Linked DNA regions of Xenopus tropicalis. The protein of the gene in region 1 interacts with the protein of each later gene in a pairwise test. Links are inferred from orthologs where the notes say so. Each region holds a gene or a part of one and is shown on either strand. Other genes may lie near its edges.

Region 1 (4,064 bases):
ATACCTCGCTAAACAGGAATGCAGAAAAAAGTAAGAGAGGTTACAAAATTCCAGTCTGGAGACATTGCAAAGAGGAGATTTTCCTACTGCCGAACAGGAGTATTCAAAATGCAGCAGTTACCTGTCCCAGGATGGGTCCAAGCGGTGGTCCAGGAGCTGCCTGCCCAGCTCTCACCAGTGCTCGAATCATGCCGGCAACATTGGCTTTCTTTACAGTTTTTACTGCACGTGAAGCTTTTGACATAACTAAGGGAGAACAAAATTTTTTATTGTAAACCAGAATAACAAAAAGTTTTAATAAGACACTGCTAAAGTGGGAGCGATTCCTACTAAATATTTGCCCCTACTCTATGCTCCATTAAACTACACTTCATTGTAAATGATAATGCATCTAGTTTCCTGTGCTGGCTGCTGCTCTATTATCAATCTAAACTGCTTTTTTTCCCCCAAATGTTAAATAGTTATCAGTGTAAATCTGGCCAACATAAATTCCTTATTCATACAACCTTTCGATTACCTTTATCCTAACACAACATGCTTTACTATCATTGAAGTTGTTAGCTCTACTTTCAGTAGCAGTAGTTGTTGCACAGTTGCTAACAGAAAGAAGTTTTTGACCATATTTTGTCCCATGGCAAGCATTTCTTTATATTATGACCAAAACACACGAAACAAATTTTGGTGCATAGAATTTTGTTAAAATACATACATTGCACACAACAGATTAAAGGGGACATTGCCCTGACCTGTTTTCAGCATTACTGCATTTTCCATAGTGATTCTGATATACAGAGGGAGTTTCAGAGATTAAATAAATGACAGCACTGGCACTTGCTTCATTTGTATAGCATTTCAGATTATTTAAAATGTTATTTCCTCCATAAAATACTGTAATCAGGGTCAGCTGTAGAAATATTTCTGTTAAACTGCCATGTCTCATATAGGGCAGCCCTAGAAAATATAAATCTGCTTTACTTTGGCTAAAGCTATCATAGAACATATAGTTTTCAGTGCAGAGGCAAGAAGCAGATCTAGAGACAGATCATGAAGTAACAGTGATGTGCAGGCTGGCAAAAAGCTGACCAGTAGCCAACCCTGCCAACCCACCTGACCATAACCCTCTGTATTTATAGACCTGCACCCGACCTGCCCCTCTCTGACAGGGCAAAAAATGGCAGGGCACACAGAGTCGAATTTATAAATACTAACATCTGGAGGCAGAGATGGGGCATAGTAAGGTCATAGGCAGGGTGGACACATGGTAAAGTGCAGCCCAAACCCATCCACAAAAGTTGTGTGGATGTTGGCTTGTGGGTCCCACAAGTTCAGGCCAGCACATAACTAAGAAGGTCATAAACTCCTGCAAACATCATAAATGGTGTCTGTCTAGTTTGAATGAGTTACAAAATCATTTTAAATCCCAAATGAAATCAGAGACATATTTTTCAAATGAGAAATAGTTCTTCCTAGGAGTGAAAGTACTCGCACAGTCTTGGCCAAAGGAACATGTTGTGAATTCACAAAAGAATCTTAAAAAGTATCTGCAGATCTGCAGGCCTTTCTCTTCTCAGCTTAGTGTCATGTCTGCAGACAGATTATTTGAAATAATGAGATCTGTTGCAGAAAAGCAAGGACAACACTCACTAGAAAGAAGAAGCGAGCACTCACCTCACGTCTGCCAAAATGCACCTGAATAAGTATGAAGCAGTCAGGGAACAATGGAACAAGATAAATACTAATGGGTCTCTGGGGCTGTAAGGGGAAAAAATCAACAGTCAAGAATGGCAGTTGCATATAATGGTGCAAGTATTACAAATAATTTATTCAATCAATTCTGTTCTGCGGGAGAGTTTTATACAGCAGAATTCCCATCTGGGATCTTAGGCACCAATAATATAATAATTCAAAACACAAAAATAAATCTATACCAAAAATGTAAATGATCTGTAATTGTTTCTAAAGGGGTATTAAAGCTTAATAAAGAAGTAGGGTAGAAATACTGCAGACTATTTTGTGGGTTTCTGTACCAGCCCAAGGCAACCACAGCCCTTTAGCAGGGAAGATCTGTGCCCCCAAAGATGCCCCAGTAGCTCCCCATCTTCTTTTCTGCAAATTCCCTGCACATGCTCTGTGCTGCTGTCACTTACTGAGCTTAGGGACTGACTTAGAATATAGTGTGTGTATAAAATTCAGAATAAAAGGCTCATAAGTAATTAATACATATTTTAGGTGTGCATACCCCATTGTAGAAGCAGAAGGAATGCTTGGGAAACACTTGTACGATGACAACACAGAATACACCAGCCAATATAAACTGTCAATTCTGTCCTTCCAGACCAAGTTGGCAGATTATCGGCCTGTGTATAGGGCCATCTGAAAGGCCTGCCCAACCAATGTCTGGTCAAAAATCTGCCAGATAATAATAGGGCAGGATTCAAAATACCACTGGGGCTAAACTATAAGATCTGTATGGGCAGCTTTAGTTAGAAAGATAAGGGGAGGCATGAATCCGAATTTCCCTGAAATCCCAGGACCTGAGGGACCATTACCACATAAAACAGCATTATTACAGAACAGGGGGCAACTAGCAGTCCCACACGGAAACATGCCTGGGGTCTAAAGGCACTTATGCTATATGACATTTCGGGGACCACAGGCCATAAAGCACTGAATTTCCAGCTGTCTCGAACTTATTGCCATGCACACTCAAGCTACATCTACTTGTACAGCTGCTTACCGTCCCCTCAGTAAGTCAGTACTCTGCAGGAACACGGCACCACTTTATGTCAGTCCTCTTGCACTCCCCTTACGACCTTCATAAGCAGCTCTCCATAAGCACGCAAGCTCATTTCGCTTTACCCGATTGGCTTCTCGGACTTTCTATTACGCTTGTACCATTGGTAGACATACTTGCCAATCACACTCGATCTGTGCTGCCATTGGATAAGCTTAGAGCCTTGAATACCGCTCGCCGATTGGATGACTGCGTTTCATTCTTACTTCAGTACCACTATCTGGGAATTTCATTGAATAGCAGTGACTTTGCTTCTTCACTGAATGGGTAAGGGCAGGCGTTACGTATACATGTGGGCGGAACCACAGCAAGCGTGGTTGGTGCTGTAACCCGGAAGTCTGGTCGTTTCAATTTTTGTCAAAATCCTGAACAGGTGAGGAAATTACATTGTTCGTATTACTTGTAGGAGCTCTAATCATTTGAATGAACAAGGATGGCGAGTTTACAATAAAAAATCATTTTAAATGGTCGCTATCAGTATTTTGAGTCTAAATAGTCCCCCAATGTAAATCAATCAGGGACTGTGATTAATTATAGTACTATAATTCACATAGACGCAGCCTATGTATTTCATAAGTGCTATTAATATCTTGATTTTTAAATATGTATGCAAAAAATAGGGATGCACTGCACCCATCATTTTTGGATTTGAACAGTTACCAAATTGTCCACAAAAGGTTCTTCTAAATAACCAGCCAATTGTAACCCCAATTTTACAACCCCAAGACTGTGCCAAACTGAGAACTGATTTTAGGTATGAAAAAAATGCTTAATTGTGAACAAACCAATAGTAAAAGAAAATGTAACTTTACTTTCCATTATACATTATCATTTTTTCCGGTTATATGCAGATGTAATTGCAGTGCAGTGTAACCTTAAAGTACATGTAAAGCCTAAATTTGCCTACAGTGTATATCAGTTGGGCACATCTCCCCCACCCAAACAGCATACACACACACAGACCCTTATTCAGCATACATTTCATCAAGAATACAGGCTCACACAGGCACAACTGTCTCTGATAAAAGTTCTGCTTTGTTCGAGCTGAGCTCAGGAGAGGAGGTTAGGAAAAAGAAATAGAGCTGAGTTACTATAACCACCAATGCCATCTCTTCATTGGCTGCTAGACTGGGGGGTGTGTTTAGTAATCTGAGTTTAGAACAATTGAGCATGTCTGGCAAGCCAGGAATCAAAGCAAATTACTGAGGGGGGGGGGGGGTTACAGGAGAAGAAGGAAATCCAAGTGATTAAGGAGATGTTGCAGCCTTAC
Region 2 (3,986 bases), on another chromosome or scaffold:
CTGTGGTGCAGTGGAAAAACTATTGTTTCCCCTATCCGGAGCATGGGCTCTATTAGGCTGCACCTCAGGTGGGGGAAACAACATAGGGGCAATTGGTGCACTTTAAGGGCTCTGGCCCTTAGTCGCCCGCGACAAATCTCCTGTGTCTCGGGCGACTAATCTCCCCGAAATGCCATCCCACCGCTGCCGTGTATGCTATCCTACCGGCGATTTACATTTTCGCCGGTGGTATGGCAATCTGGGGAGATTAGTCGCCCGCGAACAGGGAGTTTTGTCGCGGGCAACTAATCTCCCCGTGTGCCAGAGCCCTAAGGGCAGTGGCAGACTAAGAGATTAGTTGCCCCGCAACAATACGGCATATGCGTTGCTACGATTTCCCGAACTTGCCCTAAGTACTTTGGGTGAAATCGTAGCGACACGTATGCCATCCCACTGGCGATTTACATTCTTGCCGGTGGGATGGCTTTGCGGGGAGGTTACCCGCGGCAACAAAAATCTGACTAATTTCCCCTTGTGCCACTGCACTAAATCTCAGCTACTGTGGGTAACTAGTCTCCAGGAAATGCCTTTCCACAAAAAGCACTTCCTTTCCCAAAGTTACCTGCAGGAGGCCAAGTATGCCTTCCCACCTTTGGAGCATTGTTTCTCGTTACACACAGGTAACATTACAGACATACTACTCATACAGCACCCACAAGTTGGGCAGCGCTAGAGAGATTGTTTTTCATTCACACCAACTCGTACATAGTGGCGCTTACAATCCAACTTCCCTACCACTTTTAACTAGCGCACAAGCGGGCTGATTACGAACCGATTAACCTGTTCTCGCTAATCAATAATACACGCCAACTAAATAAGGGTACTGAAAGACATACATGTGTTTAATGATCATATAAAGGTACAAAGTCGCAAGCCCTTGTTACGCTTCTGATTACTAAAACAAATACGTCGAATAAAATCCTTTGAATCCTACATATACTCACACCTTCCGAGTAACCTACTCATTTTCTACAGAAATATAAAGAAACCCCGGCTGGCTAAATCAATTAGACGTAAACATAAGAATAGGCGGAGCAAATATTGCACCACGTGGTACACCCTCGCAAATCGTAGTCCAGCTCCCGCTCAGCGAACGTGACGCCGACCTGAAGCGCTGTCAGCCATCTTGGAGCCGGGAGGAGCGCAATTCACCAACAGTCTCTGCAAAATTATTGTAAATTAATTCGGTGGTGCTGTCAACTCGGTAGCCAGCGATACACCAGATCGAGAAATTAAAGCAATCTACGGAAAACCCGTCGCGCTTTTCAAGGTGCAATAAGGCGGTACCGTCTGTAGCAGAAGAAACTGGGCGCGTCGGAAAACATGGTGCAATCGTGCTCGGCTTACGGTTGCAAGAATCGCTACGATAAGGATAAACCCATCTCTTTTCACAAGTGAGTGCATTTTGCGCTTTGCCCGGTAATATTTAGCTGGATAGTATTCTCGGTCCCCTGAAAGCAAGAGACGCATGCGCGAAGCTCGGTGCTTGTTCTAATGCTAGGCGCCTGCCGATACCACGTGGTCAGGGGCTGGGAGTGCGCGGCCTCGCCTTGTGTTACTGTGTGTGAGCTGCATCCAGTTGTTCAAACTTTGAAATAAATGGACCTAAGAAGGGGAAGAGTGATTTTACCTCATTTTTATTTTATCATATAAATATGTGGACTGGTATATTTAACGCTTTTGCCTTTTTTTCTGGTAAAAATTGCCACAATTGTGCATGTTATCTGAGTGAAACTTGTCAGAAAATATTCCCCCTGTACATAGGGTTTATCTGTGAAACAGTTGTATGTTACACAGCCTTCTCCTTCTCCAACATTGACTTGGCAAATTTAAGCTCTCAGTGCCTATGTTAAATAAAAGAAAACCCAAACCCATAAATATTTGTTAATTTAAACAAATAAAAAGTATGTCCTATTCAATAATAATCTTAAAAAGCATTTGCACAAAGTAATGTATCATACTGCTAAAATACCCCTTGGGTATCAAGCCTATTCATAAGTTAAGATAATATCACTTAGGAACATCGCATTCCAGTTAGGGTATGGGTAGGGAAAAAAGGAAAGGGATTTTTTTCTGAATTGTAACACCCTGTTAAAGAGAAATACATATATTTTCCATTATTATATTGTTGCTGTAAAAGTTGCCTTTTATGCAGTAGCATACCTAACCTTGGGTACACTTATTCAACAGCGGCGTAGTCACATGATGGAAAACTCCTCCATTTTGCTTCTCTGGTGGGCCTAGAGGGGTGCATTTCACCCCCTTGTAGTTACGCCACTGCTTTTATGTATGCATCTTCTTTATGGCTAATTAACCAATCATTTAGATCCCTGCTGTTGTCTTGCAGTTGGCCATGGGGGCTATATTCAGCCCTTCAGTATGAGTATGTTGCATTTATTAAAATGTATTGTAGTGTAGTGTGCTCATTACCAACATCAAATCTAACCTGCAGTCCTTTTGATATGTCTGGGTTCAGTGTGAGACCCCTGAAACTTCAGATGTTGCTCAGCAATGCTGTAGACTGTTCTTGATTCTGTGATCAATGTGGCAAGAATCTAATTTAACTGTTAACACTTTTAGCACTGGGATTAAAATGTCTGAATTGAGGAAGCCGCAATTGAAATAATATACTCCATACTTTCTTACTTTGCAATAATTTGTTTTAATGTCTTATTTTAAAATTTAAATTGAATAAATATTTGACTTTTTAAGAACATTGTTAGTACCGTATATACTCGAGTATAAGCCGAGTTTTTCAGCCCTAATAATGTGCTCAAAAAGGCACCCTCGGCTTATACTCGAGTATATACGTTCTCCCGGCCGTGCGCTCGCTTGCTCACACCGCCCAACCCTGGACATATGCGCTCGCATGCTTGCGAGTGTTGACTTACTCTATTTCATTGATCCATCACCTCGGCAGCCATCGGCGCGCAACTTACTCTATTTCATATCCAGCACTGGGCATCCGTCGCAATCGCATGCATCCCCCCGTGCGCGTGACATGTGTGCGCGGATGCCTGGTGCTGGATACGTGCATGCGATCGCGCCCGATTGCTGGAAAGGTACGTGATATGTTGTGCGCGACGAATGCCCGGTTACAGCATGATGGCTGGCGCCCGATGGCTGGCGAGGTGCTGGATCGGTGCTGGATCAATGAAATAGAGTAAGTCAACAGCACAAAAGGGCATTTAAAAGAACTCAGAGTTGCAACATGGGTCAACTACAAGGTAAGGGCATATTAAGTTGTTCGCTTTGATATTTTGAGTTTTGCCACAGAGACAGGCCCTTAGGCAGCAGGGATACACAGACTGACACACATAGACTGTACACAGGCTGACAGCTGCTCACTTTACACCTCCTGCCTCAGACTTAAGGTTCATGATTTTTGGAACATGTCCTCCCTCTTAGGCAATGGTTGACAGTGAATTATTACTAAGAAACCTAATGGGTTAAATAGGAACTGTGATCGATATGTGTTACTATGAGTATAGGATAACGTGTGCACTGCTTTCCAATTTTTGCCTCCTAAAAACAGACACTGATCATTTTCTCCCCTGATATACCTAAAAAGCAGCTGCTCTAAAGTCTTTGCATTACCAGGGCTAATTAAATACAATAATGTTGCACAAACTAAGGTGGCTTAACACAAGCCAGTTTTCTTATGGCCGGTCATTTTGAGTGTTTGAGAGACTGGATATACAGTATGTTGTTTTGTCAAACGCAAGGGTGGTTCTGGATGCTTCTCAGCTGGCCGAAATACACAGGTGGAGAAAATGCCCAATTTATTTATCTATTTTATTAATATATTATTTTCTCATCTGCAATGTTTTCTCTATCTTCCATGATGATGATAGCGTTTTGTGCAGGTGTGTTAAAAGAAATGGATGCCTAGGCTTATACTCGAGTCAATAAGTTTTTCCAATTTTCTTAGGTAAAATTAGGTACCT
Region 3 (3,518 bases), on another chromosome or scaffold:
AATAAGGATTAATTATATTTTTTAAAAATTAGAATTATTTGCTTATAATGGAGTCTATGGCACATGGCCTTTCCGTAATTCGGAACTTTCTGGATAACCAATTTCCGGATAAGGGATTCCAACCTGTAGTCCTATTTGATGGCTCAATTTTCCCCCAGACAGAAATAATAAGGGCATGGTTGTTGGTCTTCTACCCAGGCATTAGGCATTTAATCTGCTTCTTTATAAGAGAACTCTTCCAAAACAAAATGTGTTAAACAGCCCAAATTACAATCATGAAAACAATCAAGAAATGATCAGAAAAAAAGTTTTTTTAGAAAGTTCTGAATTATGGGAAGGCTATCTCCCATAGACTCCATTTTAGTTCACATTTTTAAAAATGATTTCTTTTTTCTCTGTAAAAATAAAACCATACCTTATACTTGATCCCAAATAGGATATAATTAATCAATATTGGAGGTAGAATTTTCCTACTGGGTATATTTAATGTTTAAATATTTTTTTAATAGATTTAAAGTATGGAGACCCAAATTACAGAAAGACCCCCTTATTTGGAAAACCCCAGGTCTTGGTCCTATACCTCTATACTGAAAAGTTGCTTAAAATTATGTTTATTTTCAGAAAGCTTAAGTTGTGTTTGGGTGGAGTTCCCCTTTAACATTCATGCCATTAAATCTTATGTTTTTGTATTTTTATGGGATGTATTTGTATTGTATATAAAAACAGATTTGTTGACAGATAACCAGACAGTTTACTGTATGGGCCATGAATGTATCTCAAATAGTTTGAGCCTTTATACAAGGGTATCTTAATTAAGATACTCGTCACTGCAGATTTCACACATTCAATAAAAATGTTAATCAAAAAATACCGTATAAAACCGAAAACACTTCTTATCAGCTTATGACAAGTAATGATTTGAACTGTATGGTCTTTGCATACTATGCTGTTGTGCAACTGTTATATAATGCAATGCTTTTGTTTTATTTTATTTGCTTAATCTGATTTGATCTTATTTTGTTTTAAATATTTTATAAGGAGGATATCGCCTTTTTAAAGCAACAGCTACGAAAATTGGAGGATCAACACCAAGCCAGCAGACAAGAAGTCTCTTTAATGTCTAGGGAATTGAGTGAGGCAGTAAATAAACGTGATAAAACCATGGCCGATCTCCACTCAGCCCGTCTTGACACAGACAGTGTGAGGATGCAACTGGCTGATGCTTTGGCTCAACTAAGTATGCGAGATGAGCAACAGCAGAAGTCCAACCCTTTTGCTAAAAAGGACCAGGTAAAACAGACAGAAAAGACAAATATTCATTCAGATTCACCAGTCCGAAAGTAGCAAGCACTTAAATGAATTGGGGTCTCCAGTAGTAATGTCAAATACGCTTGGATGTAACTTGTAATTAGTTTGGGTGTGACTTGTAATTTGCAGGTTATTGCTTAGTTGGTTCTGGTTGATAATTTAGAATATCCTCCTTACATAGTTAATGTGAGTTGAAAAAAGACAAAAGTTCAACCCCTCCAAATGGCCCCCAGTGCATATACACATACCTATAAAGACCTAACAATATACAAAAAAAAAAAATTATATATATATATATATCTGTTCCAGTAACGGCACTCACCAATCGCAAGCCACACGCCGGGTGCTCACCAAACGTATTCACATAGCTGCAGCAGAAAGCACTCACGGCTCCGATTTGTGCAAAAGTATCAAAAGTTTTATTGCTCCACGCTCACATGATGTGAGCGTGGAGCAATAAAACTTTTGATACTTTTGCACAAATCGGAGCCGTGAGTGCTTTCTGCTGCAGCTATGTGTATGTGTGTATATATATATATATATATATATATACCTCACTGTCCTCGGAGTTGAGAAGTTGACCAGTTATGGAAAATCCTCAGAGTGCTGACATTTATTCCATTTGAAGATTGCTCTGCTCTAGCACCAAGGTATAGAAAATCTTTTTTGGAGTGCTCCCTATTTTGGACTTTGTATTTTCAGATGGTTGTTTTCAGCTTTCTGAGGGTAAGCACCCACCTCTATTTTTCCGACTTTAAAGGAATTTTTATGGCCCTTCCTTTGGGCCGTCTACATGCAATATTTTGAAGTTTTCTGTTTGTCCCCATTTCTTGCTTGATCATTGGTGAAATTACGGAACTAAAACGATAACACGCATTTCTTCTGAACACACTGATTTACCTACATCGCTCACCCCTACTACCCACTGGCTAATGGAAGGCAGCGGCTCGCAACTAACATTTGAAGTTGATACTAGCACGGACTTCACCTTCACCCCACAGGATGCAGACAAAATTCTGTTTACTGAAACTCCATTGGACATTGCTACAAACAAACCTGATATCGATATATACCATGATCTACTAAATTTGAAGAAGAAGGAGTTAGACCTTCAACTACACGGTATCTATCTCTCTAACTATCATAGACAAAGACTTATCCCACGGGGTTTTAGGATTAATAACATCCCCACCATTGGTCGCAGTAACCCAGAGTTTTGCAGTAAGTGGTGCGGTATATTGAACCATTGCTCATTTGACCTGCTATTGCTAGTGGTAGAACAAGTTGGGAAGGAACTGGTATCTATACGGGCAGACATTAACACATTAGAGCTACAGCACCTAGAATCCCTCAGGGCAGACACTACTTCCGACTGGATACACAAACTACAAACAAATATTGACAAATACAAACAAGATCTAACTAATTTCAAACAGAAAAAACTACACAAAGTGGCAGATGACTATAAACACAAGAGGGTTTATGGGTGGCTATTGGGTCTAAGACCAGGCGACCAAGGAAGGAGACCTATTAGACGTAAAAGACTCCCCAGATCCCTAGCAACTGTAGACAGTTCGGATCAGTCTACTGACTCGGACACTGGGAACACCAACAACCCTGGCAATAGGCCTTTTTTAGGGGTGACCACAAGATCAAAGAAAGAAGGAGGAGACCTACCAGGAGAGGGGGTCACAAGTGTAAGGGGGAAGCCTCCAAAGGGGAAGAAAACATAGTTTTCAATTTGAGCAGACATATCCTCACACCGGGTGAGTCCTCATTATTGTGCAAGGGTCTTTCCTTTGTACCTAGCACTATACCCAATACATTTGATACTTCAGTAGACATTTACAAGTTTCAGAGGAAACTTAGGCTGAAAGAACACTTTAGAAACACACCTAGGGATACACAACCCCCCTTTAGGGCTAAAAGCCACTTTGAGCCCCCTAATACCCCAGCGGCAGTACGTACTTTCGGTAAAGTTCTTAATTTAGAAGCCAAAGCTATGGCTAAAAGTACACGGTCCTATCCCAATCTATCAATAGCAGAACGCCGAGCGATTAAAACTCTCCAGGAGGATACAAACTTAGTAATTAGGCCCGCAGACAAGGGTGGGTCCATTGTACTATTGGATTATGGTTACTACAGGGATGAACTGTTAGGACAATTGAGAGACTCTACCACATACAAACTTCTCCCGGGGGACCCCACTA
Region 4 (3,518 bases), on another chromosome or scaffold:
GAAAGGAAATAATAATAATAAAAAAATAAACCACATAGCAAAAGCAGCAGAAATATTTACTGTAATCTGTTGAATATTTTCTTACAATGAAAACTGTGTTTGCCATTCAGGTGTCATTCTCTACATCCTTCTTGTTGGCTATCCACCTTTCTGGGATGAGGACCAACATAGGCTTTATCAGCAGATTAAGGCTGGTGCTTATGATGTAAGTGTATGGCTCATTTCCCAAACTAAAAAGAAAAACAGAAGCTGTATGCATGGAAAATATGTGAGCTTATGCATAAAGAATACAATATTCCCACTGTGTTTTTTAGGTCAGGTTTTTATTATTCTTTTGACCAAGTTATTTTATATATTCAACTTCTGTTGCTATTTAAGGAAGAATATAAGAAGCATGCTTAAGGTGATAGAAAATGTTTTATTTATAAACATTCTTACACAAGAATTACCTTTAGCAAGGTCGACAGAAAAATAAAAAAAATATTAGAACAATTGAGAAAAGTGGTAATTTTTCTACAGATTTTATTTGTATGCAAGATTTACAACCCTTTATGAACTACTCATTCTTTTTTAAAATACTTAGTTTCCATCTCCTGAGTGGGATACAGTGACTCCTGAAGCCAAAGACCTTATAAACAAAATGCTCACGATCAATCCAGCCAAGCGCATCACAGCTGCGGAAGCACTCAGACATCCTTGGATCTGTGTAAGTTTCTCTTCAGAACTTTATGCTACTAGATATCTTCTCTGGGTTGCTTACAATTTTATTGACAAAATGTTAATCAGTTATTATTGCTTAGATCTTGCTTGTATATTAGAGTAACTATCAAAATTGCATATCTGTTATAAAAGTTTACATTGCCTTTACAGAAGAGAAATAACTAGAATGATTGGAATGCAAAATGTTGCCTCTGTGCTCCATATAGCAATAGCAGCAGCTGCATATATCTGTAAGGTTCAAATAGTTCTGTTCAACCTGACTAGAAATGCAAGCACACTGTACATTCTGTCTGATACTGTTATGGACAATGTAAGCAAGTCTTTGTCAATGTACATCTTCTGCATACAAGATTTTATTTTGTTTTAGGATGGTGTACACTAAAATATTACCTTCTAATTTCCACTTGTTGGTAGACTGTCTGTTTAAAATGTTATTATTTAATACATCTGAATGCAGCTGCTAGATTCATTTTTCTCAATTAGAAATACCCTCTTCTTGCTATTAGTAAATAAATGTGATTAACTCTCAGATCCTCACAAGATTTGGTGCCTGCATTAGCACAGATTTACCACGAGTGACAAATAAGATAAGTCTGGAAGATATGGGGCTGAGACACAAACTATGAAAAAGCAATATAATACAGCGCTTCCAACTCAGGGAAGCCCATTTGATTATTTAAAAAAACCCTAGCAGTGTGCAGTAGAATTCACCTACATGGTTTTGGCCTTCATAGTACCCATTGATTGTTGGGTAAAAAACCATAAGCATGATAAGAAGTAGCCAGAGAGTGCAGATTGCAAATAGCTGATAAGCTTCCCTATAAACACTAGATGTGTAGAGGCAGATTATATATAGGGTTAACCTAAACTGACAAATGAGAAAATATGTCAGGGAGTAACTGTCATTGCTCCTGTTTGAGAGGCTACTGGAAAACGTTAGTAAAAAAGGATGTGAAGCTGGGATGATTGGGCAATATGTCTAAAGACATTCTTTTTAAAATAGCATTTTATTTATTTAATTAATTTTATTATGTGTTTTTTTCTAATTTCTTTCCAGCAACGATCTACTGTTGCCTCCATGATGCACAGACAAGAAACTGTGGATTGCTTGAAGAAATTCAATGCAAGAAGAAAGTTAAAGGTACACAGGAGAAAACTGTTTGTGTTAAGACAGAATATTATAAGTAATGTATAAACTGCAAATCGAATCTTTTTGTGACATTATACATTACTTAGAATTCTTTGTAGATTAACTGTACACAGTACTATAGTGAACTCTCTACTCAGTAAGTTTGCAGGTTATCCATAATGACACCATTGGACAAGATTCCAAAATATAAAAGATTCTGAATATAAAATTAAAAGTTTAAAGGGGCAGTAAATAGCTATATGCATTATTAACATGAGCAAAATGATGCTGAGTTAGGTTTATTAGTTATAATAAGCTTTGTATAAATAATTTACCCCTTCACCCTTTGTTTTCATTGTTAACCTCAAAAAAAGAATAAGAAAACAGATTTTTCATAATGAAATCTGGATAAAGTATTTTCAACACAAGCCTTATTTATTAAATTCATGGTGATCAAGGTGCTTTACTGTACCTTTAATGCCTCTTTGTACAGTTCCAATAAGTTATAAAGATTATTTTGCAAATGCTGTTTTTTATTAGTAATAAAATGCTTCTAATTGGCCAAGAAATATGTTTATAACCCCATAAGAATAGGGTGTGCAATGGGAAAAAATAATCAAGACAAGCGTTTGTGTCACATTTAATGCAAATCTGAGGTTTTATGAGCATTGCATTTAAAAAGCTTTCACTTTCTTATCATTTGTTATCCATGTTCATTTGTGAGCAGTTAGATCTGCTTTTTCCTAAAAAAAAAAGTTACATTTGATCCTTAAATGGGTTATCAAACCAAAAACATTCTTTTTGCAATTTAAACAGCCGCTTTATATACATTTCAAAATTTCAATGTATTTAAAGTTTTTTATAATTGCTATTAAAAGTAGTTTCTGACTGTTTTTAACAGCAGTTATATTTACAAATTCCATTAAAATCATTAACATGTTAACTAAATTAAATATATTATTTATATTCATATATATTAATAATATATTGTGTGTATATATATATATATATATATATATCTGGAGTAAAAACATGCACTTTCAGGCAAAATCGTTTTAGATTTTGAGTTGATAAGTAAGTTTCCTAAACTTACGTACTAAATCTAATAGTTATTATAATATTGTGATGCACGGTTCACAATAAAGAAATACACCACCACAGAGTGGCTATCTTAAGCCTACTTACAGAGCAAATGCTGCTTAATATATCTCAAGCTCTGTTAACGTATGGGATTTTTGATGGCTAGCATTTGCCAGCAATACATTGACCTTTATTTAATCTGGAATAGGAGCAGATAAAACCTTAGTAAGGGGTATTTTATTCTGTGTTTCCAATTTTTTTATAATTAATAGTAGGAACAGACTCATATTTAACCTGTTTCCAAAACTAAGCACAATAGTTTATAGATCAGCAGTGTATGGTGATAAGGAGACCTGTGGAGTTCCATATTGTTATACTCTGTACCAGTACATATCCCCCAATATGTGCCAACAATTTTCAGATTTTAATATACTGCAGTCCTAAATCTGCTCTAGAGATGTCTGGGAATAGTAAGTAAAATGGCAGGGTACTAGGCAACCTTTTTTTCCATAAAATTAGCACCACCCTGGGGGGGAAAACTTCACTGGGGTGGAGCTAAATTATTGCCCTCTGCAGTGAAATTTAAATG
Region 5 (3,518 bases), on another chromosome or scaffold:
ACTTACTCCTGCATCTGAACTTGCCCAAATATTTATCAGAAAATGTATGTATAGTTTTATTTATATCAATTTATATTATGTATGTATAATTTCTTGCATATTGCACATTTAAATAATGCATGAATAGAACAGATAAGGAACACTACAGTAATAGAATTTTAATGTAAAGAAATTTGTCTTGTTTTTGGGAGTCTTTTCTAAGCTGAGAATCAATATGCAGTTGTGCGGCTGTTCCTCAAGAAACAGTCATCCTGAAAAAACATACCAGCCTCCCAGCTTCTTGAACGTATTTTTGTTTTATTCCAAGAATCAAGATCATTGTGAGGAGCTTTTTCATGTGGCTGAGTTTTCCCACAATAATTTTCATGAGAAGTGTATGGATTGTTCATATTTTTATATGTCTAAAGCCTAAATCTTCTGTTCTTCCTTTTATTTCAAAGTTGATGTCCCTGATGCTAAATAACTGGTTTGAAATTTCAGTAACACCAGGCTTTGTCTTCTTGTAAAAACTGGGCTGCTGAAAAACATTGTCACCTTTCTTTTAAGTCACATGCTCGGTGGGTACTTCTAAAGGAGGAGGGGGTATACTGTAAGTGAGGACCCAAAAGCACTATCTTCTTGATTATAATGTTTTGCTTATTTAGAGACTTTCTGTCCTTGCCCTTTCCTGATCTTGACTGTATCTTTTGATTATATCTACTTTCCTGTGTCTCTTTTCTCTCTGGTGTGGGATGGATTTCTACTGTTTCCACAGCCATAACAGAGCTCTCCTTCTTGGCCAGCAGTGTCAGAATATTAGCTTATCTTCTCCAACTACCGGGTCCTTCTCCTACCAATCTATTACATCTTTAGGGCTGTGGTAGACGCGGAGATTAGTCGACTGCGACAAATCTCCCTTGTTGCGGGCGACTAATTTCCCCGATATGCCATCCCACTGGCTTGAATGTAAATCGCCGGTGGGATGGCATATGCAGCGCAACGATTTCCCGAAACTGCGGAAGTTTCCTCTCAGGGCAACTTCCACGATTTCGGGAAATCGTGGCACTGCATATGCCATCCCTAAGGTAATTTACATTCAAGCTGGTGGGATGGCATATTGGAGAGATTTGTCGCTTGCAACAAGGGAGATTTGTCGCGGGCGACTAATCTCCCCATCTACCAAGGCCCTTATAGTGAAGGATGATGTTTAGTCTATTTATTGTCTCATTATATGCAAATAGAAATCCAAAAATGTTTTGCATTTCAGAGGGATGATATTTTCTCTCTTTCCACAGTGAGTCTAGTTTTGTGAAATAAATTTAGTGGGAAAAACACCTCTAGCACCTCTAAATCAGTGAGGTGATCCTCACTGCACTATATATATATATATATATATATTTAATTACCATAAAATAAATAAATGTTCAAGTATTAGCACTGATAATGTAAATAATACTTTGTACATAGTTTTCCCTTTGTTGTTTAAACATTGTTTAATTTATTATTTAACAGGCTTTGCCAAAGTAGAATCTAACTACGAGAATAACTTTGTGACCAATGGATGCTAATAAACTGGATATCCCAGAGGACTTGGACACAATTGTGGAAGAGGCAGAAGGACAGGATGAGTCTACAAAAGAGAAATCAGAGAGCCTGACTTTTTATCACACAGATTTGTATGATTCTCCAGACAAACTGACCATCTTTCCTAAACAGGAACTTTCTGAGGAAAAAAAGCCACACATTGCAAAGCAAGATTTGTCTACTACTGCTGAACAAATCCATTCAGATCTGCAAAAGGAAGTGGATCACTTGGCCAAACAGTATGGAATTTCTGATGATAAAGAAAAAGATGAACAACCGTTTTTAACAAGCGTGCCTTACAAAAACCCAGAAACAATTTTTCATAAACCCACTGCCCCCAAAAGAGAAAAAAAATTGCTCAAACGAAATAAAAGTATTGAGACCTCTAATAAAATAAGCCAAAACCAAAATACAGAAACAGGCACAAAGACAGAGAACAGTTCCCCTAAAAGTAGTGTGCTGGATGAGAATGGCAGCCATCTTTCCAATGAAAGTGGTCAGCTTGGACATCATCAAACTAAAGCACCAGAAAAAGATGGAGGATGCGTAGATTCTGAAGAAAATTATATCCCTGACATTTACTGTATCACATGCAAAACCCCAGTTAAAGCTTTTGACAAGCTGTTTGGTGTACACAAGGATCATGAGGTCATGGGCATAACCGCTGCTGTTGAACAAAAGAAAGTAAGAATAAATAAAGGGGGTGTTACTATTATCAATTTATAAACATATTTATATAAACACATTTCTCTTAAATAAGAGTAGGGTATCTTCAACAAACCATACAAAGTAAGTATTAAAAGCAATACAAAATTGTAACGCTGATAGTTACAGCTTACAGTTTTATACAAGAAGGTGAAAGAGGTGTAACATTGACATAGTGAACTTTAGTGGAAAAAGTGGTTAAAGCAGTGAAATTCAATTGGTAATTGGTTTGTTATGAAATAAATAATAGATAAATAGTAATAAATTAGGCATGCTGCCATAAAGAGATGTTTTAGAAAATTGGGGAACACTATGGGGCACATTTACTAATCCATGAACGTCCGAAAAGCATCCGAATGCGTTTTTTTCGTAATGATCGGTATTTTGCGATTTTTTAGTAAATTTTTCGTAGCCGTCGCGCCGAGTACGAAAGTTTCGGATTCATTCAAGCTTCAGTATCGTGACTTTCCTTGGGCCAGGTTGGAGCTGCAGAGTGCCATTGAGTCCTATGGGAGACTTTCCTTGGGCCAGGTTGGAGCGGCAGAGTGCCATTGAGTCCTATGGGAGGCTTCCAAAATCATGCAAAGACTGAAAGTTTTGCCCGACGTTTACGAGCGCTCAATACGAAAAAGTCGCGACAATATACGAGCAAATCGTAACGGCTACAAAAAGTCGCGACAATTCGTGCAAGTTGTAACGGCTACGAAAAAGTCGCGACAATTTACGAAAAAGTCGCAAAATGTTCGTTTCCAATCCGAATTTTTCCTATTCAGATTCGTGGATTAGTAAATGTGCCCCTATAGGTTGTAGATGAGAATCAGTTCAGCTCTAGAAAAATCTTAAAGAGATACTGACACCAGAAATTAAACTTTTTTTTACATCTATCATAACCACATTGTCTTTGCATGACCTTCATTTTTGCCATAAAAGTATTTGCCCAATGCTTTTATATTACCTGTCTGATCCCCCATGTTCCTCTGAGGGGGCTGCCATATTTGTGCAGCAGGAGGCCGTTAGCATTAGAAGCTGTAACTGACAGGGTGAGGAGGGACAGACAGGTTGGCAAAACAGTCAGGTTTAGGAACTTCAAGTAACAATTATTTACAAAAGCAAATCTCTCAGCGAAAATCAATCAACATGACCTATAGGCAACTTTTTATGTAGATTCATATTTTGAGGAGTCATTTTTTAGTGTCAGTATCACTTTAAAGGTGTTCAAGTGAAGTGGTTAAATGAATGATTAGGGAGTT

Evidence for each region.
Region 2: the proteins of mrpl11 (region 1) and thap1 interact in binary tests that used the Homo sapiens proteins (3 or more experiments, as listed by UniProt). The two-hybrid records come from large-scale screens. The link is inferred for Xenopus tropicalis from reciprocal best matches to the Homo sapiens genes MRPL11 and THAP1.
Region 3: the proteins of mrpl11 (region 1) and tax1bp1 interact in binary tests that used the Homo sapiens proteins (3 or more experiments, as listed by UniProt). The two-hybrid records come from large-scale screens. The link is inferred for Xenopus tropicalis from reciprocal best matches to the Homo sapiens genes MRPL11 and TAX1BP1.
Region 4: the proteins of mrpl11 (region 1) and camk2d interact in binary tests that used the Homo sapiens proteins (3 or more experiments, as listed by UniProt). The two-hybrid records come from large-scale screens. The link is inferred for Xenopus tropicalis from reciprocal best matches to the Homo sapiens genes MRPL11 and CAMK2D.
Region 5: the proteins of mrpl11 (region 1) and fsd2 interact in binary tests that used the Homo sapiens proteins (3 or more experiments, as listed by UniProt). The two-hybrid records come from large-scale screens. The link is inferred for Xenopus tropicalis from reciprocal best matches to the Homo sapiens genes MRPL11 and FSD2.

Annotation. Positions count from the first base shown.
Region 1 is NC_030680.2:38,001,329-38,005,392, reverse strand, and holds the start of mrpl11 (39S ribosomal protein L11, mitochondrial), read right to left. Parts: upstream 2,806-4,064; 5' UTR 2,738-2,805; intron 1,753-2,737; 5' UTR 1,669-1,752; intron 247-1,668; 5' UTR 245-246; coding exon 122-244; intron 9-121; coding exon 1-8.
Region 2 is NC_030677.2:112,770,174-112,774,159, reverse strand, and holds the start of thap1 (THAP domain-containing protein 1), read left to right. Parts: upstream 1-1,181; 5' UTR 1,182-1,362; coding exon 1,363-1,433; intron 1,434-2,207; exon of another isoform or gene 2,208-2,279; intron 2,280-3,986. UniProt on the Homo sapiens protein: DNA-binding transcription regulator that regulates endothelial cell proliferation and G1/S cell-cycle progression.
Region 3 is NC_030682.2:42,549,252-42,552,769, forward strand, and holds part of tax1bp1 (tax1-binding protein 1 homolog), read left to right. Parts: intron 1-1,038; coding exon 1,039-1,290; intron 1,291-3,518.
Region 4 is NC_030677.2:69,389,405-69,392,922, reverse strand, and holds part of camk2d (calcium/calmodulin-dependent protein kinase type II subunit delta), read left to right. Parts: intron 1-110; coding exon 111-205; intron 206-583; coding exon 584-706; intron 707-1,777; coding exon 1,778-1,861; intron 1,862-3,518. UniProt on the Homo sapiens protein: Calcium/calmodulin-dependent protein kinase involved in the regulation of Ca(2+) homeostatis and excitation-contraction coupling (ECC) in heart by targeting ion channels, transporters and accessory proteins involved in Ca(2+) influx into the myocyte, Ca(2+) release from the sarcoplasmic reticulum (SR), SR Ca(2+) uptake and Na(+) and K(+) channel transport.
Region 5 is NC_030679.2:105,252,902-105,256,419, reverse strand, and holds part of fsd2 (fibronectin type III and SPRY domain-containing protein 2), read left to right. Parts: intron 1-1,491; 5' UTR 1,492-1,536; coding exon 1,537-2,247; intron 2,248-3,518.